2 linked regions of the Styela clava genome follow. The main gene of each other region encodes a partner of the protein of the gene in region 2 in a complex. Links are inferred from orthologs where the notes say so. Each region holds a gene or a part of one and is shown on either strand. Other genes may lie near its edges.

The links.
Region 1: the proteins of N-alpha-acetyltransferase 25, NatB auxiliary subunit-like (region 2) and N-alpha-acetyltransferase 20-like are in contact, whole or in part, in a cryo-EM structure (PDB 7STX), measured with the Homo sapiens proteins. The link is inferred for Styela clava from reciprocal best matches to the Homo sapiens genes NAA25 and NAA20. Residues at the interface, in NP_079229.2 of Homo sapiens: Ser226, Glu227, Ile228, Asn259, Asp261, Asp262, Trp263, Gln264, Arg318, Arg321, Leu325, Lys362, Pro363, Cys364, Thr367, Asp368, Val371, Leu457, Thr459, Glu460, Leu461, Ser504, Ala506, Leu510, Leu532, Asp533, Lys535, His536, Ile537, Gln538; in NP_057184.1 of Homo sapiens: Thr2, Thr3, Leu4, Arg5, Thr8, Cys9, Asp10, Leu12, Phe13, Phe15, Asn16, Asn19, Leu20, Pro22, Leu23, Thr26, Tyr27, Gly28, Ile29, Pro30, Leu33, Gln34, Leu36, Ala37, His38, Pro40, Glu41, Pro49, Glu52, Met54.

What each region holds. Positions count from the first base shown.
Region 1 is NC_135250.1:1,477,225-1,489,055, reverse strand, and holds N-alpha-acetyltransferase 20-like, read right to left. Parts: upstream 5,306-11,831; 5' UTR 5,271-5,305; coding exon 5,091-5,270; intron 4,508-5,090; coding exon 4,340-4,507; intron 3,578-4,339; coding exon 3,392-3,577; 3' UTR 2,377-3,391; downstream 1-2,376. Other genes in the region: protein arginine N-methyltransferase 1-like, read right to left, coding at 1,278-1,334; trypsin-3-like, read left to right, coding at 9,149-9,209, 10,410-10,554, 11,499-11,646. UniProt on the Homo sapiens protein: Catalytic subunit of the NatB complex which catalyzes acetylation of the N-terminal methionine residues of peptides beginning with Met-Asp, Met-Glu, Met-Asn and Met-Gln. Proteins with cell cycle functions are overrepresented in the pool of NatB substrates.
Region 2 is NC_135264.1:17,436,428-17,448,282, reverse strand, and holds the start of N-alpha-acetyltransferase 25, NatB auxiliary subunit-like, read right to left. Parts: upstream 5,902-11,855; 5' UTR 5,864-5,901; coding exon 5,797-5,863; intron 4,677-5,796; coding exon 4,591-4,676; intron 4,129-4,590; coding exon 3,990-4,128; intron 3,315-3,989; coding exon 3,196-3,314; intron 2,289-3,195; coding exon 2,114-2,288; intron 1,034-2,113; coding exon 953-1,033; intron 387-952; coding exon 275-386; intron 1-274. Other genes in the region: tetraspanin-18B-like, read left to right, coding at 9,412-9,471, 11,016-11,201, 11,335-11,496. UniProt on the Homo sapiens protein: Non-catalytic subunit of the NatB complex which catalyzes acetylation of the N-terminal methionine residues of peptides beginning with Met-Asp, Met-Glu, Met-Asn and Met-Gln. May play a role in normal cell-cycle progression.

The sequences.
Region 1 (11,831 bases), on a different chromosome or scaffold from region 2:
AAATCTCAACTATTGACCCACATTAGCAACAGAGTAAGATTATTGCATAGATAGGATTTTTGAATTTGCTCCCAGGTGAGAAAAGTCAATAAAACAAAAAACTCTGGTCAGGCTACCATTCTATTTCAGGTCAGAGAGAGAAAGAGATTTATTGCCACAAAACAAAGTCAACACTATTATAAACATAATACAATAACTAAAATACTTCAGCAGTAATTGAATATTGCTTTGTGTGGGTCGGTGTGCGGGACCGATTAAAGTCATCAAGGCTTGACACTTGTGTATATGCTGTATATAAGACTATCATGGCATTGGATGCGAATAAGATTAAATATAAATAAGATAAAATGAGTGAATGAGTCAGCAATTTAATGGTATTATGAAAGTTATTAAAGGCAATTTAGGTTGAAGGGTATATTTTTTCGTTAATGGTCAGTTCTCTCATTCCAAGAATAGGCCCCAAATCAAACCACGTCCATTATAATGGTGAGCACGAACCCCTCATTTACGAGCCAATATGTGTCTTCATATCGACTCAAAACGTCACACTTGCACTACGCAGTAAACTGAAAAAAAGCGCAATCCAAAAACGTCACTATTGGATTCCATGAAAAAATAATCTAACTTACTGAAGGAAAATTTTTTTCTGGTAGCATTCGAGAGTTTCTCGTAAAAACGTAATTTGCGTCATGTGACTGCCGACACGCGTTTCGATTAAGACAAGCTTGGCCAGATAACATAGTTTCAGAGACAAATAGAGTGTTAAACCAACGTTGGGACATCTTGGAATAGGATAACTGTGCCCAGCTGATGGTCATCAGTTTCCGATATGAAAGACTGAAAGAGTTTGACTAAATAGATCGGACCTCAAGTTGCTAAATGTTAAAAATAATTACCAATCAGTTTGGGAATCGAATTATTAAGCTCAAGCAACACACTGCCAATTGCTGGATTTTCCTGTCTGTTGACAGGTTCGAATCATTATTCGCCAGTATGTAAACAAAAGTATGAAAAATGCCCGAACTACAACAAAATGTCAATGTCAAAATGTACTAATCATATCTAATGCAGAATTGTCAGGCAGTTCGCATTACCGCAGGCAGGGTGGCTTCTTCTACACTCAGACACTGACCAACCATTATTGGACATATTATTTGATACAGTATTTCTCCAATCCAACCCAAACGAAAAACAGGGGTTTGTCATTACAGCATTAACTTATTACCTAGTGTACGGTAAACTACCGTAGTATATTAGAAGTATGTTAAATCTCCTACCTTAGTGGCCGGCTCCAGTGTTGCTACAGGTGATATTTCTTGTGGTATACACTCCATTTTTTGTGAAAACGCGAAGAAAAGATATCTATTAAATACAATACTGGCTAAGAAACGTAGACAGGTGCACGATAAACAACGAGAAATAAGGAAATTGAGGTCCAGACTGTGACGCACGTGTGAAACAACCACTAGGAGCGGTATAGAACAGCTTTAGTGAATCCTGAAATATGTTAACGACGAAAGAAATAATTAAAAATTATATAATAGTAATGAATCACAAAATTGCTTGCAACAATTGTAGATTTTGGACGATACTATAACATTTATGAAGGCCTAATATTTATCAAGAGAGAGAGAGAGAGAGATTCGATTTCGACAAACAACGTTAAAAAGCAGTAGAAGAATATTGCCAAAATATTTTGACAAATACTAATGTCTTATCGTTTTTATGGTAAATCTGTTACATAGCTAGAAAATACGAAATATATAAAAAATAAACATGTTCAATATGAATATGTTGACGCTATCGGCCAAGCTACAATGCCACGGAGACTATATATTTCGAGCAATTTTTTAATTGGCAACACGTTTTTATTTTAATATATATTCAGATTCTGTGTTTTTTTAAACTTCGTGCTCTTCCATACCGAACTGCCTTTCCTCAGTTGATTCACGGTATATTACGTTGATCGTCGAATCAAAATTAACCAGATTTCATATCAGTTTTTATATGCTTATACCAACCATTTTTTTGCCTGGTATTCTGATTATGATCAAAATAAAAGTTATAAAAACTGCCTTGGTGGTGGTCTGAAACAAACCTGTATCATTGAACTGTTTAATCTACAGACCTGAAATTACGACTAGAAGCGTAACTGATAAAAGTCAGGCCCTCACTAGAATGCATTGCACGTCAGTGAGAAAATCAATATAAAAATGGAGCCTAAAACTATCCTCATTCACTCACTTTATCTGATCTGGTTGTCAGGCTGCCCGTACTACGAAAGATTTTATACGCTTTGAAACACACCATGTTTGCAACCTCAATAGGCACTTACGATATTTTTATACCCCTTCCCCCCAGTTACAAAACACTATGTGAAAGTGAAGCTATCATTCTGGAATGACAAGAAAGTACACATAAAAAAAAATCTGGTTTAATATGAAAAAAAATATGTAAAAAAGAAGCTTCAATCTCCCAATCAGAAATATTTGGTTGATTGTTTTTCTTTAAAATTACCCAGGATTGTAGCTTATTGCATAGGCTACCTAAAATGATGAAATATTATTTCATAATATTCATACATCACAAATTGAAAATATTCCATTCCACTTGTGAAACTTTTTGCACAGAAAGAAAAAATTCAATAAACTATCCAAAAACATCCATTCCGAATGTCAAGCAGACACCCTTTCTGAATTATCGCTTGAACAAAGCCTGTGTTCAGAGCAAACTCATTAACAGAATGATTGCAAAGAAATTTGTAGAATGCAAAACCAAAGCAATTGGTTTGAAAAAATAAATGACAACGAATTCATTACAGAATGGACTTTCAGAATTGGTTTTGGCATCTCCTTTCACTCTGAAGTTAGATTTTTTTAAATTTCTTTGAATTTGTGTATTTATAGTTCATTTTTTCAGTATGGCGAAGAAATAAATTACTGATTTCACATTTAACTATGAGGGAAGTAAAGCGGATAAAATGGCCTAATTATATATTCTGCCATCCAGTTACCATTCCATGTCAGGCATATATTTAGTTAACGAGTAATTCGATTCAGATTCACGAGCTTTCATGCACACGTCAAAACGATAGTTGAATTTCATCAGAGATTAGGCATTTAGACAGCTAAGGCAGGTGGTTAGAGTAGAAATATAAAGGGGCTTCATGATAAAATATAAGCCAAACAGGTTTCTCTCAAAAAAAGTAAAATCTACCATTGAGTTAAAGTTCCTATGATATAAATTCTGTTTTTTGTTTGGATGAATTTGCTCCAAGTAATTGAGTAAATAAGTAACTTAGTAATAAATAAGATTGATAACTGAGCAAAATTACAATGGCAGACTAAAGTGCTTTGGTCAATTTCCACTTATTTCTGACTGGGATTCTTTATTATTCAAGATCTTCGGGTTTAACAGGTTCTTTGAGCGGAATGATTGATTTTTTGAAAATGTCACGGCTGAGTGCTTTTCTCATATCAAAAGCGTCTTCATCTCTATCGCCTCCAGGTGATGAATAATATCCAATAACAGTTCGATAGACTGAATAGCCCAGACGTTTGTACATCCCAACAGCAATCTGAATAAAATAAATGTTAAATGAGAACTATGGACTGTCACTCTAAATATGGATATAGTAATATTTCTGAGCGCCAAAGCACAAAAAATTGACACCACACAAATATCTCCATTTAGCAAGCATGAGCTTACTGTAATCAATGTTCTTTTAATGGCACAATTTTTATAAAAAATCCATAAAATTTGGATTAAATTTGCAAACAACCCTTTCTGGGAGTCATTTTTATCTCAAACTACTTCAATAGAATGAAGATCAACAGTCACAATTTAACAAAGCGTTCAGGGGGAGAGGTAGCCAGTTTGATCGTATGGCAAACCACAGTCACTCGTCCGGTTACCATTCCATGTTGGGTATCGAATTAGTTCGCCAGTTATAGAGGAAATCGAAACCGACCAGCAGTTACATGGACAAGAAGTCCAGCAATCCTCTCACATATAATTATCCCCAACCACACCACAAAACGGGATTCGAATGTGCAAACTTGTGCTATAGCGATGATATGCCAACTGTCGCGAAATTGAGAAACATAGGGTGTCCAGAAAGTCTTAAGAATTTTTAAATCTGCAAAGGAAATTTATCGATACCATATATTGTTCTGGCCCTCACAGATGTATTAAATGAAGTGAAAATACTTTACAATTACTGACTAAGAAACAACAAACCTGATTGAGATATATTGAGAACTGACTACATAACAACAAAATTGAAATTATAAAGGGAGTTTATGGACAACCTGTATTTCGTGAAAACTTTCTATCATACCTCATTTGACTTCCTTACAAATAGATCCACGAAATATCCTTGTTTCTGCTCTGAAACTTCCTCCAGTCTTCGCATTAACTCTGCTGCTAGTCCGAGACGCCTGTACTCTGGCGCCACGGTTACTGCTGTCACATGACCATGCCATTCTTCAGGCTGACGCCCTTCGACCTTGAGAAGGAAGTAACATGAATATAAAGTCCATGAATCAGAAACAACTACCTCATATCTATTCCCATACCTGACATGGAATGGTAACCAGACAAGAGGCCCGAGTCCACCATATGATTAAGACATTTTATTGTTTTCCTATCACATATGATAAATATAAAAATCCTATCCTATGTTGAAAGTTATGATTTCAAACATAGAATTTTATGTTTGAACTTGAAACTATCGAAATCAAGTTTATTCACATAATCAGACAAGGATGGCAAAAATTCATCAGTTGTTAATGTTCGATAAAGTGTTTTGTTGATTTTAGAATTTCAAAATTGGTCATTTGAGAATTCAAGATATGATCCTCACATAAAGTAAGCTCCATTTACTGACACTGTAAAAATTAATCAAAACAACATTTATTTCAACTACTTTGCATTGATGTATTCAAGATCATTGAATGTTAAATGACTTGAGTATCTTAATTGTCGAAACTGACCCGATTTTCGATTAAAGAGTTAGATTAAACAAATTGAAAATTATTGCGATCAGAAAATTCTTTTTTCACAAATTCAGATAATCAAATGATTCCAACCTTTCCCATAATATATCCCATAGTTTCTCCAGATGGTGATTCTGCAATTGTAAAAAACTCTGGCCATTTTGCAAGATATTGAAGATAAAATGAAAGTCCGTAAGTTTCTGTCAAAGGATCAAGGTTCACATTGTTGAATTTCAAAAGGTCAAAGCAGGTGAAAGGTCGGTAGAAGGTCATCCTATATAATATTCTACGCTGTACAAAAAGAGAGAAAAGTTTTACTGATTTATTTTGTATTATGGGATTGGCCACCTAATCACTTAGAAATAAGCGAGACATTAATAATATAAGTATTGCCAATGATTATTTTTAAACCAAAGTGAGCTATACAATTATGGAGCATGAATTTTCAAGTTATCACCGGGAGACGGAGGCTATCAACAGGCTTAAACTTATAGTATACAAACCGGCATCTCCTTACGATTACCGTACCAGTCCAGGTGACATATTGGATAGTTCACCAGTTATTTGTTTCAGGGGAATGGACTTGATAATAAAATAGGGTGAATCCAAAAATTCTTCCACATTAAATTATTCCTTACCGGATTTGAACTGTTAAATATTCAGTGCTAGAGGAAGAGTGCTCCTTACACTTAGCATGATAAGCTAAGCTGATTCATATTAGCACTGTTTCGAAAAATTTGTAAAGGACGATAGGCCATGCTGCCATGGTATACATATTATTAATTAAGCAGTGTACCGTATATAAGTATATTTTGATTTTCTCGCAAAAAACAGTGTTATTGTCTTTCCTCTCCTCGGGATGAATACTGGTATGTAAATTCTATCCTATCAAATCATATTACAGTAATAACAATATTGGCACCATACAAATCAAAGAACAGGATCTGTGAAGAAAGTGCTCAGACCTGTGGCTCGGCGGTGTCGTCAGACTGGATTCCATGGCAGATGCACGCCCGAGGGCGCTAGCGCTCCACAAAAATGCACGCGAGCGAATTCAATTTTGCACGCCGAAAATTTGCAATTGCTCACCAATGTAAATCGGTTTAAATAGTTTTTAAATCAATAATCTAGTAATATAAAGATGCCAAAAAATTATAACTTTACAATTGTCGACTAATACTTGCTTGCAAGATTTGGCCTGATCGAAAAATGCGAAGCAAAAATCACCATATCGTGTTGAATGATAGGAATCCCGTGAGAAAAATCGCCTCCTCACCGACGCTGGCCAGTTATGGCTCTGATTCAGCGTATTTTTAATACAATAATTTTACACGGATGTACTGAACAGTACCGTACCGGTATCTAAAGTCGCACAAACACTCGGATGTATTGAGAGGTATCTTAGGTCGAAATCAGTTTAGCGGGCGCAGTTGTTTTGCACGCCGTGAGCTATAATTGCACGCCAGAAATTCTTATTTGCACGCGGGAATTTCTGATTGCACGCCCGATTTCTCGTTCGAAAAGGCCATGAAATCCAGACACCGGGTGTGGCGCATCGGCATCGTGCTAAGCGTTAGAAATACGCTCGCCACTGCATCTCTGATTACCCTTCGTGGGATCGCAGGTTTGAATCCCATGCGTGGATGATCATGTGCAAGAGAATTGCTGGACTCCTCGTCGCCATAGGGTGGTTCACGTACCGGTAACCGCTGGTCGGTTACGGCTTCCTCCACCATCAAGTCCATGCTTCCGAAAACAAATAACTGGCTAACTAATCCCATACCTGACCTGGTAATCGGACGAGAGGCAGTGGTTCGCCATATGATTAAGCTGTCTTATCGACTTTTTTCTCCCCCGGGATAAACGTGTAAATCCTATCCTAGGCTATCCTCACAATACAGTACCGGTACCGGTAACATAAGTCTGCTAGTACCGGTACCGGTATTACAATATTATGAGGTACCGGTACCGTACAAAATGTACTGGTACCGGTACCGGTATCAAATACATTCAGGATAGGGATAGAGTTATCTGCAATGTTTGGCATCTGGAAAAATGAAACTGGTTACAGGTATCGCTATCGGTAACATAAAGTAAAACCAAATCAAAAAATAAATCAACGCAACATTTTGCCTATCCCAACTTTTGTTCATTATTGAAAAATCGTATTGCACTGTACCGGTACCGGTGGCGTGCCTGCAGACCTTTGGTCGGTCGGTTTCAGCTTCCCCCGCCATCAAGCTTGTGCATCTGAAACAAATACCGTAACTGCCTAACTAATCCTATACCCAAAATGGACCGGTAACCGGACGTGACTCAAACCTGCGAATCCGTGCAAAGAACGCGAAGGTCCGATGGTGAGCATAATTCGGATCAAACACAATTTCTATAACAGGCACCATAATTGTGCCCCGCGTCCCAATGAAACATATAGCCTAAAAACAAAAACACGGAAGATTGGCAAAATCAGTGCCACAAATAGGTATAAATATTGTGGTCCTATGCCGTCTTATCCCTTTCCTCTCCCCCGGGATAAATATGTAAATCCTTTCCCATCCTATTTTTTTGGTTGTACTATGTAGAGTTCAAGATGAATTATCTTTAATGGGATATGATTTACATATTAATCCCGGGGGAGAGGAAAGCCGATAACGCAGATTAACGGCCTCACGTCCGGTAACCTGTTTGATAACCAACAATAATTTTTTTCACGCCACCCTTCATCATAAAATGCCTTTTTTTTATGTTTTTTCCACAGTTTTTGTCAAGTGTATGCTCATTTAAGTGGAAAATAAACTACCGGTACTGAATGACTACCTTTCCATGCCGGATACGGGGTTAATTAACCAGTTATTTGTTCCCGGAAGCATGTACTTGATGGTGGAGAAAACCGTAACCGACCAGCGGTCACGTCACCCACCCGACGGCGACGAGGAGTTCAGCAATCCTCTCGCACATAACTATCTCTGTATGGGATTCGAACCTGCGAACACATGCAAGAGTAGTCAGAGACGAGCGTATTCCTAATGCTTAGTACGATGAGCCACACCGCCGTAATAGATGATTCAGATTACAGAGTGATGGGATTTCAAAAGTTTAGGAACGGGTTCTTTTCCATATCGAACTCACTAACAAAACAAAACCATGCACAATTTCGGGTTTGCTGATCATTACGACATTCCAAGGATTCACGCAAACCTACTGGATTCCACCGCTGCCTATTCTATATGTAGCATAATATACAAACATGCAGCCCCAGTACGTATAAATTTCTAGTGATAACGTGGACTCATGTCGTCCGGGCGTGCAAATTTTGTGATGAAACATACTGGGTGGGTGATGGGTTTTAAGGTACAATGATATGGTGAAAGAGGCCAACACTGACAAGCGAATTATTCATCATCCTGAGACCGCGATCAATTTTCTCGCCCACATTCAGTCTTCTGGACCAAATATGCTGGCGTATACGATGTTAGGCATATAGTTCAAAATTCGCAACGGACCACCACGAGACACCCAGTAAAACTGAAACGCTCATTGCGTAATAGTCTATTTAAGTCTAAAATTCCTTCGCAGTAAAAGTATAAAATACTTAATAACATAGTTATGGCAGAGGAAATCCCATTCATTGTGATTAATTTATATTATACGATAACTGATGTCATTATGTTCTTTCAATTTCGTCTGCGTGAGAACTTGCCACCTGGCAGAGAGTGACGTAAAACAAACCGTTTGTTATAAACGGCCATGCATGGTGTAATGTAAATTATCGTAGAATGTTGTTTGACATCCCTTGTATCAATTTCTCATACTGTAAATATATTTGCGTGTAATATTGATGTAGGTGTTTATTTAAAAACTAGTGAAAATTTCGCCAGTATATCAGACTCTAATTGAGGTCTATTGAATTCAACTGAAGCAAGCTTACTTTTGATTAGGTAACCAACGAACGAGTAGCGGATGAAATATTCCCGATTTTTTACAGTCACGACAAAATATTTGCGCATTTTACCTGTTATTCTATGAGCGTGAATTTTTTTTTCTGGCGGATCCCTATTAAATAACACAACTGGATAAACAGAATAGAGTGGATCGAGTAGGGTACTAGCACATATTTAACAAAGTTACTACGTCGGCTAAATTGGAGCAACATGTTTCCATCGAAGTTTATTTGCTGGACTGTATTGTGTTTCTTATCTGTCAGAAATGGAGGTAAGGATCCAGTATACTTGAATAAGGCTATGTCGTTTGTATGATGTTCATTTTGATACAGGTGAGGATCGGCGCAGTGTAATCGACTATTTCACCGTTTTCTTAGTTCTTTCCCAAACTTTTCATATTAAAAGAAGAAGGCGAGAAGTTCTAAAGTTGTCATGAGATAGACCAGTGGTTTTCAAACTGGGGGTAATTCGACATTCTTAGGGGGTAATTCATACGTTAACCGTCTTAAAAAATCTCTTGTGTAAGCCCCGTACTTTTTACTGGTCTGCGGAAAAGCTGGATGTTCGCATCTGGTATATGAGCATTATTACGTCTTAATGCATTCGGTAACGCGGTTAGCAGAGACCTAATACCAAAGCTTCATTTTTGATTAAATTTCATTCAACTTATTACCGTGATTATAATTTTATTTTTATGGAAGAGGTAATTGAGCTTTTAGTTATTCGATTTAGGGGTAACGATATTAAAAAGTTTGGGAACCACTGAGATAGACAATGATATCAGAACCCTTGGGTTAAATTTTTGCACAGCTTTAAGTAAAGGAATAAGATTTAGTTACAATTGAAAGAACATCTTGAAACAACAAATTATCGCACCACCAGCTGTGATAGATTTGCGATTCGTTGCTACCGGATCTACTCGCAGTGAAATAAGGCACGAAGCAATCGATATATTTTATGTAAGCAAAAAACTATACCAGTTATGCTAGGGATATTAAAGTGTTTGGATTGAAGGTTCACTGTGAAAATAGAAAAATCACTGAACTGTGCATTCCCGCCTCCATGGCCGGGGCAGAACAATTTTACTGACAGCGTTTTACTAAACATCAGAATATAGTTTGAACTCTTATATTTTTATCTGTCTTTTCGGTAATAAAAACACTGTTGACTTTTGAGTCGTTTTGCTGAATAATTCTTGTGGGTGTTGCTGTTTGATCTGAGTCCCGTCGATAATTCAAAACAAACTTTGCTGATATTTTTATATGTTATAGTTCACGTTTAAAACTTCAACATTTTTTCTTCAAATAATCCAGTTGAATCGAGAATTCTCGCCCATCTTTCCCCGGTAAAACCTCCATATCACATCAGTAAAATAGTTTCAAAATTTGACAATTTTGCTCAAATTGCTGTCGCCATGTGAGTTACCTGACCATCGCGTCCAAATATTTTATCATTTCTCTCCTGTTTTTAGAATGCGACAAGATCGTTGGTGGATACGAAGCCAGACCTCATTCAGCTCCGTATATCGCACATCTTGATCGGTATTCGTCATATTTCTGCTGCGGAACTCTGATTCACGAGTCGTGGGTTTTATCGGCTGCACATTGTCATTACGAGTAAGTAGTATTGAAATATGTGACTAATAAAGACTACAATACCAAGTAGTTTGCCAATACATGGTTGTACCCGTAAAAATTGAAGAAGGTTATACGTTTACTTTTGTTCTCATTTGCTCAATAGTGGCACACTCACATAAAAATATTTTTGCGCACATTATACGAAAAACTTTTCTGAAATTTATCAGCAGGTCATTCAATACCAGGGATGTCCAATACCGAATAATTCACTATTTTGAATACATTCGAAGATAAAATCAATCAGTTTACCACACATGTCACGTCTGCAGATTGCCGTCGTATTTTAGAGCAGTAATGCTTCAATTTTTACGTGAGTCGACGCAACCATGACTTACACACGTTAAACACAATTAAATTAATACCGAAAGGCATTTTAAATGCTGGTATCGTTCTGGGATTTGAATATTTTGTCGCAACAGAAAAAAACAAAAAACAAAAAAAAAGTCGATATTTTTCAACTATCATTATCAAAATCATTTGCCTAAAAGCGGGAAATAGTATAAATTATTTTTCCATAAGTAATCGGCAGTTTACCACACATTTTATGTCCGCAGATTTCTCTAGTATTCTAGTAGTAGTGCTTTCATTTTATCGTAAGTCGACGCACGCGAAGGCGAGTTATGATGAACACCATTGAATTAATATCAAATACATTTTAAAAGCTCGCATCGGCCATGTATTAAATATTTCACACAACAGAAAATCGTTATTCACTGACAAAGTCGGCTATTTTAACGAATGCCGTAATTGCGACGCTTTTTTTAGAAGCCGTTGCACGGGAATTTTCGATTCCGATTCTTGACCCCCTCCGCTTATAATAATCCTGGCTACAGCCCTGGAAAGATTATTCAACGATTTTATCAACGGCTAATCAGTTATTCGTTTCAGAAGAACGAACTTAACTTTAAATTATAACTTCACAGACCAGACCAATTCAAAGTCATCATCGGCGACCACGACCGAAGCATTGTTGAAGGCACAGAACAGACAATCCAAGCAGTCCTGGCTCTGAATCACGAATTATACAATCCAATGATAACAGATAATGACGTCATGATGGTAAAACTCGAGGTAAGTCTTATTATTGTCTCGTCGACTCGAGCACGTTGCCAGTTTTGAAGTAATTTTTTTCGTAAATCACCGGTGTTTGTGATCCTGAAAAAAAAAAGTAAAATCTTTTCATTATGACATTTGTTCAATGCATAGCCATATGAGCGTACTTAAGAGTAAACGAGACACTTCTATTAGAAACGTTA
Region 2 (11,855 bases):
AAGTTTCAATTCTAAATAATAAATAAACTAGGCACCAATGACTTTGGCACTGACAATCATTATAATCGGAGAAATTGAATTTATGAGTCGTAAGAAAGAAAATGTAAAGTCTCAAAATAGGCAAGGGAGAAATATTATATCAAAATTTATTTTATTATTGCTGTTATTGTTTATTTATCTGCTGAACTGAGTTTAGAGAACATTTATGAATATTATAGTATTTCAAAGTAATAACAGGCAGTGAAAGGAACAAAGTACACATTGCAACACTCACTCTTTTTTCAATAATACTTTATTTCTTGAATTAATTTTTTCCCATTTTCCTAATTTTTTGTAAATGTTAGTTTTCAGGATGCTGATTTCTTCCCCTTCCAGCATGAAATATCCTGAAAAAAAAATGAAACTGAAGATGAGAATACAATATTTTCCACTATAATTAAGCTTGCTACAGTTCAGAATCATTTCGTTTTGATATTAGGTTTGCTTTTTCTTATATAGGGTGTCCATAAAGTCTTGAAATATTTAAAAATTGCATTGGGTATTAATGATACCATATACTGTTTTGGCCCTCACAGATGTATTAAATGAAATAAAAATACTCACCGTAAACATTACTGAATAAAAAACAACAAACCTGGTTAAGATATATTGAGAACTGACTTTATAACAAAATTGGGGGCTCCCGAAGTATGCGAACCAAGATGGCGGTCATCGGGAGGCTCTTGGCTAGTCTTCGAACTGATAATAGGACCAAAATAAGGAAAATTGGAAAAAAATAATCGCCTAACCCTAACCTGTTACCCATGTTACGTTCTGATGTCCGCCATCTTGGTTCGCATACTTCGGGAGCACCCAAAATTGAAATTGTAAAGGGACTTTATGGACACCCTGTATATGTAGTTACACTCCACCAGAGAGGTTGGAAACCGTGGCAAAGTTTTACGAGACTTACTTGCATGCTTTCCTTCCAAAACTTCCAAACACTTTTCATGTTTTTCCAACATTTCTAGGACTATTAGATACAGTCGGACTTCTAAAAAAATATGAAAAATTTTTTTAACAAAATAAATCCAGACCCCATCAGCCAAAAAATTTGTAAATATTTTTAATTCTTAATCCTAAACAATAGCTTCCCTGAACTCATTTTGTATAGTCGTTTTGCGAATTATTTTACTCGTCAACCAATACGCCCTTATTAAACTTCCCTAATGGCTTTTCAGGAGAGTATGTTTGTATTCTAACAAGCGAGAAGTCAGTAAAAGGACATTTCAATACATTTTCAGATAAGCCAGTCATGATCGAAAATTTGTAGTAAACAAAACTTTTAAGCAGTTTAGTAAAATTCTTTCTAGTAAGAGATTGAAATTCATCTTTCAACAATAGCATAAATTTGGAACCCTAATTTGCATAATTCGTGGCCGATTTCCAGACACTTTCAACACCATAATTTTTCAAATAAATACACCAGTCAATGGTTCAAGATTTGTAGAAAATAAAATTGATGTTTTTTTACCAGTTATTGGACACGTAGTGGACATAACGATCGTTTCAAAATTTTGTTGTTATTGTTATTATTATTTGTCTCCATCATTTTAAAAAAAATTGCTTTTCTCTTCGAATACTGGACCAATTGCTTGAAAATTTTCAGTGGTTAGTTTGATTTTTTCTCCAGAAGGCTATTACTTTTATTCATTTTAAATATTTCTGTTAGCTCTGTGAGATTTGTTTTTGTTTGCTATGACGTCATTAAACGTTCTGCGGACATCGGACGCCATTTTGTGTCCTACTGTACTACTTCGCTTGGTGTGAATATATTTGTAGACTGTGATCTGACGGTACGGTAAACCGTACTGTACTGCGAACAGACGTGTCCATATATTTGGGCGTAGCTCTCTTGTTTTACAAGGTAAAGCCAACAAGCGAAAGCGAAGGAGGAAATGCTCTATGACAAAACAATTGAACAAATCAAATTCAATTTACTTCACTAATCCCGAATGGTGAAGTAAAGGTATTTTCTTATGGCCTTGAGAAAACCACAGAGGCACATTTTAAATAATCCGGTCTAAACAGATTATTTAGACACCCCTACAACAAACAAACGAAATGAACGTACCCGCTTCGGCCTCTATTTTTCCTTTCTCAATATGTTTTTCAATCATTCTTTCTGCAAGGGGCAAGAACATCATCTTCCCAAGTTTTTCATCATTGATGGCCTGCATTACTATCGCCATGATGCCCCAGAATAAATAAGGATTCTTAGGATGATGTTTGTAAAGTAAAATGGCAACCTGAACAATATATAAAAGATAGTTTTAGGTAAAAACTAAATACATACTCGCAAAAATCAACAATGGGAATCTTAAACATAAAGGGGGGATGTTGACTTTGATGACCGCCTGTTCGTATCACTCCCCCGTCTATACCAAACTTAATTTATTACTTGTTGGACACTTAGTGGACATAACGATCGTTTCAATATTATGTTGTTGTTGTCCTTGTTGTTCTTTGACACTTTTTGGACACCTAGTGGAAAATCTAAAAATTCGCTTTTCTCTTCGATTACTGGACCAATTGCTTTGGAATTTTCAGTAGTTGAAGATAGAATTTTTCCCCAGAAGGCTATTACTTTTATTTATTTCAAATATTTCTGTTAGCTCTGTGAGATTTGTTTTTGTTTGGTATGACGTTACTGAACGTTCTGCGAACATCAAACGCCATTTTGTGTCCTACTGTACTGCTTCGCTTGGTGTGAATATATTTGTAGACTGTGATCTGACGGCACAGTAAACCGTAATGTACTGCGAACAGACGAGTCCATATATTTGAGCGTAGCTCTCTTGTTTTTTTATTATCACGATGACTGTAGTTATATTTTGGTTGACGGAAAAACAAAATCTCTCTCTCCCGCCTATATTATAAACCAAGTGCAGCCAAGAACACAAGGAAAGGGGGGTTATTTAAGTGTTAAACTTGGCTATGTTGGCGTCACAGCCTAAAGTCTTAGTTTCAATCCCATGCCCAGCACTTCACCTCAGTGTCAAACCAGAAAGATCCTGGTCGTTTCGAATTTGTATCATTGCCCGCCTGAACAGAACCTTGCTCAGAGTAAAAAAGGAGCACAGAAAGCGTCTTTATCAAGCTTTACTTTTCCATAAATTTCTAGCTTGATTTTATGTTGAAGAAAAACTCACTCACCCTTTGCATATCCTTTGGTTTCTCCGTTCTCACATAAGACATGAATAAATGTGTGAGATATTCTTCGTTCCCGACACATTTTGAAACTGCAGACTCATAAATGGGAGGAATTAAGTCATCTGTAAAAGAAGAAGAATTTATGATAACTGACAGCTTTTGGGGTACTCTCAAAGAATGTGAACCGAACCGTTGTTTATGTACCAGGTTAGGGTTTTTCCGGTACAAATACTACAGGAGTCACTTGGCTAGTCCCTGAACTCGTAATATATCCAAAGTAAGAAAAATTGGAATAAAATTATGGCCTAACCCTAACCTAGTACACATACTACGTTCCGGTGTCCGCCATCTTGATTCACGGGAGTAGTAATTTTGGTGCACAATTCACATATTACATGATTTAGAATCCCAGTATGAATAACTCCAAACTAAACGTCTTTTAGATAAAAAGCCATATAGAGTGTGGATATATATGGGTATCCTACAGTTGTATTTTCAAGCTAATTTCGTTTTCCACTATTATAAATAAATCAACATTGGAGCAACATTTTATATATAAGGCAGAGTACAGCTGTTTCTCTGAATAAGAGTTTGAGATCGCAACATTTGCTCCAACATGCAAAGTTAATCCCTAATCGATCAACGATATATTCAAGGTTTGAATTCTGTGGCAAATAAGTATATAAGAGTATTGGTGGTCCCCATGCAATATTCCACATATTTATATACCACCAACTTTCTATACCATCGAAGTCATCCATCAACATAACCCCCCAAAATGTAGAAATAATACTCACGTCTGTGTGTCTCTCTATAATACAGGCTCAGCCCTTGCAAACTGTTTTCATCTGTCGGACCCAGAGCTGCAACTTCTTGTGATAATGCAAAAGCCTCATCTCTGCGTCCAAGACGATTCAGCGCAATGACTTTCAAAACCTGAAAAAATAAAATGAATCAGTAAAAATGGGGGAGATTGTGTCACTTAGCAAAGAAGTATATGCACATTGAAAAAAGGCAAACAATATAGATTCAATAAACAACGTCAAACAGCTACTCCAGTAGTGTTTTTGTTCGCCTACTTTACATCAAGTTGTGTAAAGGGACAGAAACCTATGGACAGGGGTTATATTCACTTGGCTAACACAGACAGTCCCCGAACTCGTAAGAGAACTAAAATAAGGAAAACCGGAATTAAATTATGGCCTAACCCTACCCTGGTACACATACTACTGTACTATGGGAGTACAACGCCGCTCAATCCAACCATCTAAGACTGTTTCACCCGGCAAATGAGATGTCAAGATGTACTGGTTTGTCTGTCGAGGACGGTTTGACAAGAATAAAGACGAAGGACAAATCATGAGAGAGTTGGATGAAATACAAGATATAAAAGCTAACCTTGGCTGCTGATAAATCTTTTTGTTTCTTTAGAACTTTTTCTGCTTCATGAAGAGCTGATTTGTTGTTTCCAATGTCAAGATGTTCTGGAAATATGGTGATAAAGTCACAAATAAAATAGAATTACTGATAGAAGTAATCTATGTCTAAGTAAGATTAACATTGGTCAGTATGGTTCTCCAATATTTTATGCTTTTTCTACGTTTTTTCATGTTTCAAACCTTATCTAAGGTTTTGTGTTTTGTTTGCTCCCCTGATTTCATAATCAGTTTTGATTTATTTGTTTTTATCAATTATTTTATTGCCAGTTATGTTGATTATGGAGTCGAAATAAACCTATGCTTATACTCATTAATTAAAGTCATCGATGCACAACTTCAGAACTTGAGGCTGTTGTCACTGCACTTAGAATAGAGTGTCATATTTAGGTATAAGTTTATTTCAACTTCATAATCAGCATAATAGACGATAAAACAATTGCTAAAAACAAATAAATAAAACTGAATATAGAATCGGGAGAGCAAACGAAACCTCAAGTAAGGTTTGAAGCGTACAGATTTTCGATGAAAATGTATTGATGAAGGAAGAAGTATGTGTTCGCTCGCCCAAAAGTATTAAAACTAATTAAAGCACGCAGACACACGATCACAAAGACATAATAAGATCAGAAGAGAAAAAAACGAGACATAAATTCTACTACTCAGTAAAAAGAAAAATATACAAACAAATAAAAATTAAATAAAAATCCCCGCCACATTTTATCTCATGAAAGAGGAAAGGTGATTAGCAGCTCATCATGTGCCCAAACCATGGTTGTCCAGTTACCAGTCCACAGTTAGTTGATGAATTAACAATTCCTTCCGTAATTCTGTACCGTACTTTATTTCCTAACTAAAATATTATTGTATTTGAATATTCAGAAAATAAGGTAGCTTATACAGGTGCAGATAGTTAGTCAAATACATAACATATTTTTATAATTACAAATATATTTATCACTAATAATGTGATATCTAATCAAGCATAACATTTCCCTCCCTCCCTCTTTTGAAATCCCCCCCCCCCCCCCCCCCCACTAAAACGAAAAGCTGGGGCACTGTCCTAAGTAGTAAAGACCTTACCTTGTAAGTTCTATATATCAGTGCTACTTGAAATTATGCCCCATTTATAGTATATGGATAAAGTTTCAAAACCGTAACTTCTTACCGTAAACGGGTCTCAAACGGCGTTCATTTACAGATCCAAGGGAGACCGCGGTCGCCTGGCTTGCCATCTTCCCATTTGAAAAGCATTGAGCTACCCGAGTATACAGTTGCCAGATATCTCTGTGCATAATACCAAAAAAACGGCTGTGCTGTACTCAAGTTCTTTTCGAAATCGTTTTTGATCGACTATTATCAGTTTGATGTTAAATTGAAATTAGTGTTTTATTTTTTATTATGTTATTAAATATATTAATTTTTAAAAATACTATGCAAAACAGCGTAATATTTTGTTCGTGTAGTTTGTTTCTTTTTTTTTTTTCAATCAAGGACTTCAAAATCTGGCATGCAGAAAATCGCTTCCTCGTGTTTGAATAGGCATCTTCAACCAAGTAAGGGCCAAATTTTAATCTTAAGCAATTCCGCGTAGGCGTAATGTACGTTATTATAGTACAAACCACAATGGAGGGTTCTTATTTGCTAGCTTCACATCAATAAATGCGGCGTCAGTTGTAAAATATCCTGCAATATCATAGCCTGAAACAAGGCACTGTACACACGGGGCACGGGGCCAATGATTTCCCTACATATATGGGGTCAACTTCAAAATTCAAATTCATTTACTTACTATTTAAAATCGGCACTTCAGACATAATATTTAAAAAAAAATTTATATAGCGTTCAATCATTCCCTTTCATTACCACTAGGTCAGGGCTACTCAACCGGCGGACCGTGGTCCGAATCCGGACCGTTCGAGTATTTGATTCGGACCGCACCTAATTCTTTATTTTAGATCATTAGCCTCACTTTTGAAGTTTCCTTTTATAAAATGACTTTTATAGTTTTGAATATATATGAAAAGAACTATAACACCATAATAAGCAATTTTGATTAGCTAATAATCATTAGCCGGTCGAGGAAGTGTGCGTTCAAGGATGCCGAAATATAAATTCTGGAAAGACCAGACCCAAATAATTTTGAAGTTCGGTATGCGGATTTTCGGTAAAAATAGTTGAGTAGCCCTGCACTAGCTAGTTACCAAACCCACCCTGGGCAAAGAGTTCACGGTTACTGTCACAAATAGCTCTCGATCCTTTACAATATTTAAATTACATACGGATATCGTGCGCCCAGCGTAACCTGCGTCAATAGACGTATGTCGTTACTCAGATAAATCGTTATTGTTCATAGGCCAATTTCCGCCATATATAATATAGGTATATATAATATATAAATTCCGGAGGCAGTATTGCTGTTACTACAAATACTGGCGTGAATAAAACCCATTTATGGGACCTCCTGAAGTATGCGCACCAAGATGGCGCACAACCTGAACTGAGGTTGTATACCAGGTTAGGGTTCAGGTTGTGCGATATCTTGGTGCGCATACTCCAGGAGTACCCATTTATGACCGTGTTTTACCTACTATATTGATGAGCGTCTTACTGGTTTTCCCCTCGTCTGCTTGAAATATGACAAATGCTCGGTGGTCGCGCATCATTTCTCTGCGCGGGTTCGCAGGTTCGATTCCTGTGGAGGATGGATAATCATGTGCAACAGGATTTCTGGACTTGCGCCGCCGTTTGGTGGTTCACGTGATGGCTGGTCGGTTACGGCTTCTTCCATCGAAAAGTCCATGCATCTGAAACAAATAACTGGCTAACTAATCTCATAATTGACATGGACTGGCAGCCGTGGTTTGCCATATCATCAAGGCGTCTTTACGTAAATACGTAAATACGTAAAACCCTATAACATAACCTTTACGTTTCAATTGCTTCACAATGCAAGTCAACTTTACCATTCTTCCAAATAGTATCAGTCAGACTTACTTCTCAACGTTATTCCAGCCCTGGGGCGATATAACCAGTAATAGCAACGTATAAGATAATCGGAAATTCTTTTAGTGTTTGTAAACCGATCCTAAGGCGAGGCGTTAGCTGTATGAAAACACTTAGCTTAGTGCGAACGTTCAGTGGTTCAGTGATTCTTAAACTTTTTAAGCCGCGCCCCCTTTTTAGAATTTGTCAAGTCGCGCACCCCACCTCAAAAATAACTAGCTAACAATAAACTACAAATAACAGATAGTGAGTCGAAAATATGTTTTATTTAAAAACAGGTTGCGTGGATGAAATCGCAATCTCTGAACAATAAAGAAAATGTAAATATCCAAATTAAGGCGAGCAAGATCAAATCTAACAAGTGTTTAGCTTTAAAATGTCTACGTCTCCCTTGTGGGTCGCGCCCAGCCGTTTGAGAATTACTGGTTTTGTTGTTTTTATTGAGCAACGCGTGCAGTGGAAATCCAAGGCCAGGATTAACTATTTCTCTATGCTAGTGATCCACAACCTTCCTCGTTAAATTCCCTTTCTTCGCCTATTTGGGGAATGTTATTTCTTCCTCTCTATATATAACGGCTAGTCGGCTACTTTATTTATTCAATATTCAACGGATCCGTAGCTAATTATGTGGGCCCGTTGGCAATTATAACTATTATTTGAATTTGCGTAGTATTACGCTTGTATCTATCTATATTATACTAAACGTGAAAATGGCATTTCAAGGTGAAGTAGATGCGAAAAAAAGGTTCCATTACATCTGAACCCACGACAATTGCACCTGCATACTATCGCACCTATGAAAAAAAAATTTGTTTTACGGATATTTGAACCCATACTAACCCTAACCCATGGGTTTTAGAACCCGCGTATAGATTGAACCCGCGGATATACACATGGGTTCAAATGTACGGTCACCGAAAAAAAACTATCGTATGGAAGTGACACCAAAGTTTAGGAGAGGATTTATTTCACTTATTCCATGGGGAGAAACCACGCGGACTATATATATATTAATTCTTGATTATTCGAAGAACCACGGACTCTGGTTTAAATGCCATTCTAGATGGAATATCGGAATAGTTGACCAGATATTCCTTCCAGATGCATTATTATCGTGCATATACGAGGTATGGCTAAAAAGAAACGGGACTGACGTCACAGATTGCGCAACACGATCAACCATCGGTAATCAACACTTTTGCAGTGTGGCGTAATATGTGTTCTTTGTTTAGCAGCTGTTTTGACACAATATCGCAATTATTTTTGCTTTTCAGGATACATAAGTGAATGTGATATATTTCTTGCTGAAAAAAAATGATGCTGTGCGAGGTCTGATGGAAATTTTTGGCGATGGGGGGTTCAATTAAAGAATGACGACTGAGCAAAGAATTAACATTAAATTTTGTGTCTCGTAGATAAGTAAAAACTAGAATCGTAGAGAAATATAAAGTCGACGAAGTTGAACCTAACTTAATTGCTAAGCTAATTTGCTTACCTATATCTCTTCATGCAAGAGTGTCTCTTCATCCGGGTTTCTGTTTTTTCACCCCCGGAAACGTTTCCCTTCGATATTCCAAATCAGTAGATAACAGGCTACTATGTCTTCAATTTGAAAAATAATCAGTCAATCTCATTTCAACATTTGCCGATGCCCTGGACTAAAACAAATCTATAATTAATAATTATCTATATATAATTATAATTAATTTTAATACGTTGAATATTTTTCAGTTTCTATCTTAGTTTTTGGAACCGCCTTGGCGCGGGATCGGCAGAAATGCAAGCGAAAGAAAAATGTTTGAAGACGACATGCATAGTATTGCAGATTATATGCTTTGTAAGTTTATGTTTTTGCTTAGATTTATTAATTTTTTACATTTGTTTTCAAACTTTTTTAGTGGAACAGAATCCCAATGAAACATTATAGCGGCTCGAGTACCCCCTGTGCAATTGTTTACTTGTCTTTTATTGTCTGAATTGTATAAACTATGTATAAAAGCAAATTCAATACAGATAAAACAAAATGATGTTTCAGGTTTAGTAAGTTTAATAACAGCGGCAAACCCAATAGGTATTTGAACAATATACATATATACAGTGGTGAAATTCAAATTTTTTGTCAGCCGGTTTCTTCACAAAGGCATATTTTTCAGCCGGTTCTGTTACAAACAGAACATTGACAGTAACCAGTAATGCTAACCGGTTCGCCGATCTCATAAAATTTCGAGAGACGGTTCTATAGAACCGGTGCGCACCGGCTGAATCCCATCACTGCATATATATATTAATTAGACTCTTAGTGTTTGAACGGAAATCCGCGAAATCACATAGACAGCATTGTCGGAATCCTTGGTTGCCGCGGAACCCATGAAAACTACTGATCTAAATTGAACGAGTTGCATTTAAGGTTTATGAATATGAAAAGGGTTTGTGTTACAAAGAAACGGTAATCCTGATGGACTATAATAACAGCCAATCGACTATAAGAAATAAAAACCCCGATCTGTTTAGTATTTCTTGACATTTTTCGTTTTCGCATGTCTTTAAAAATATTAGCCGATTCTCGCAGTCCGTTCTAGAATTACTGAAAAAGAGTATTGTTTTTATAATGTAAATAGCGGAACCTTTGCGTAATTTTTAACTCATGTATCTGACACTAAAATAACACCATACAATAATCGAATTGATATAACATTAGCAAATAACAAGTAAATTACAATAATACCCTCAGGAGAGGTACAGTAGGCTTTGTGAGTTGTTTTTTTAATTTACCAAATTGGAATAGGGTTCATATCGCACAGGAAGGAAAAATCAGAAGAATGATCATACAAACCAGCTGTAAGTAAAGGAAAATGCAAACCTAACACCCTCGGTTTATCGCTTATTTTACACCCCTTTTAAATAATCAAATGACTTGAATCGTTTAAGTCTTGTGATAGCCAATGTCCATTGAATATCCAATTCGCGAGAAAAATTTTATATATTGGTTTCAGCGTGCCAGTATTTTTTTATCCCGCTTTTAGTTGTGATTCAAATATCACTAAGGTAAAATTGTTCTAAAAAATTTGCTCAAAGCATGATCGCGCAAACGCACACAGGAGTAAAAGAAATCCACCTCTGAGAAATGTTACGAGCGACTGCTAAAGTGCTGAGTGTTACTGACGTCACGTTCACTCACTCAGAAATAAAGAAGACTCGTCCTCGAGCAAAGTTACGGGTCTCGTTCGCTTCTGAGTGAGTACTCGTAACTTTTCTGAGAGATGAGCCTCGTTTACTTTTGATTGAGTGCACCCGTAACTTTGCTTAGAGACGAGTCTCCTTTCCTTTTAAGTGACCTTGCTTTGAGTAAACTTGCTATTAAAAATTACTTTTTTCTTACAGATCGCCGGAGCTGTTGTACTCGGCCTTGGCATCTGGGCTATCCACGATGACAGCCTGACGAAGCTGATCGATAAAGTTATGTTCGCTGGAATGTACGTTCTCATTGTAGCCGGTGCGGTGATCATTTTGACGACGATTTTGGCTTTTGTAGCGATTTGGAAAAAGAGCAAACCCATGGTTGTGATCGTAAGTAGCCTAATCTTGTTTGAAATATAATATTTGTCGATTACTTTATGACAAAGCGTCGCCATAATTCTTTTATAATTAGCATTTCAGTCGAAAGGTCTTTAGTCTTATCAATTCCACGTGTCTTTTACAGTACTGCATTATTGCTCTCATAGCAATATTCCTGAAGGTTGTGGCTTGCATCATTATTTTTGACTATTTCGTGACCGCTCATTGGTCGTTAGTCGACTCATACAAGGAAGAATATGGGGTCAAAAACGAGGTCACGGACATCTGGGACGAGATTCAGAGCAAGGTACAAAATTTAACATTATTTTTATTCACTTTGGACGATGCATGGAATTTTATATTTTTTCTCGTTGAACGGGCAATTTCTTGGGATAATAGGTCTTCTCAGTATATATATAGTACAAAATAAATACGACATTATCATAAAATACCAACATTTTATAAAAAAAAACTTTGGTGTCAGATCGCGGTTTTATTATTTAATGGTGATTATGACTGGCGTAATTTTGTGCACCAGGAATATGATATTACGCGTTGGGTGTTCAAATGCTTCTAACAGTTCTAGCAGCGGGAGTATTCTAAAACAAAATGTATAATTCTGGGATTTGTTTGTCAGATCGCGGTTCATAAAAACCTTAATTTGAA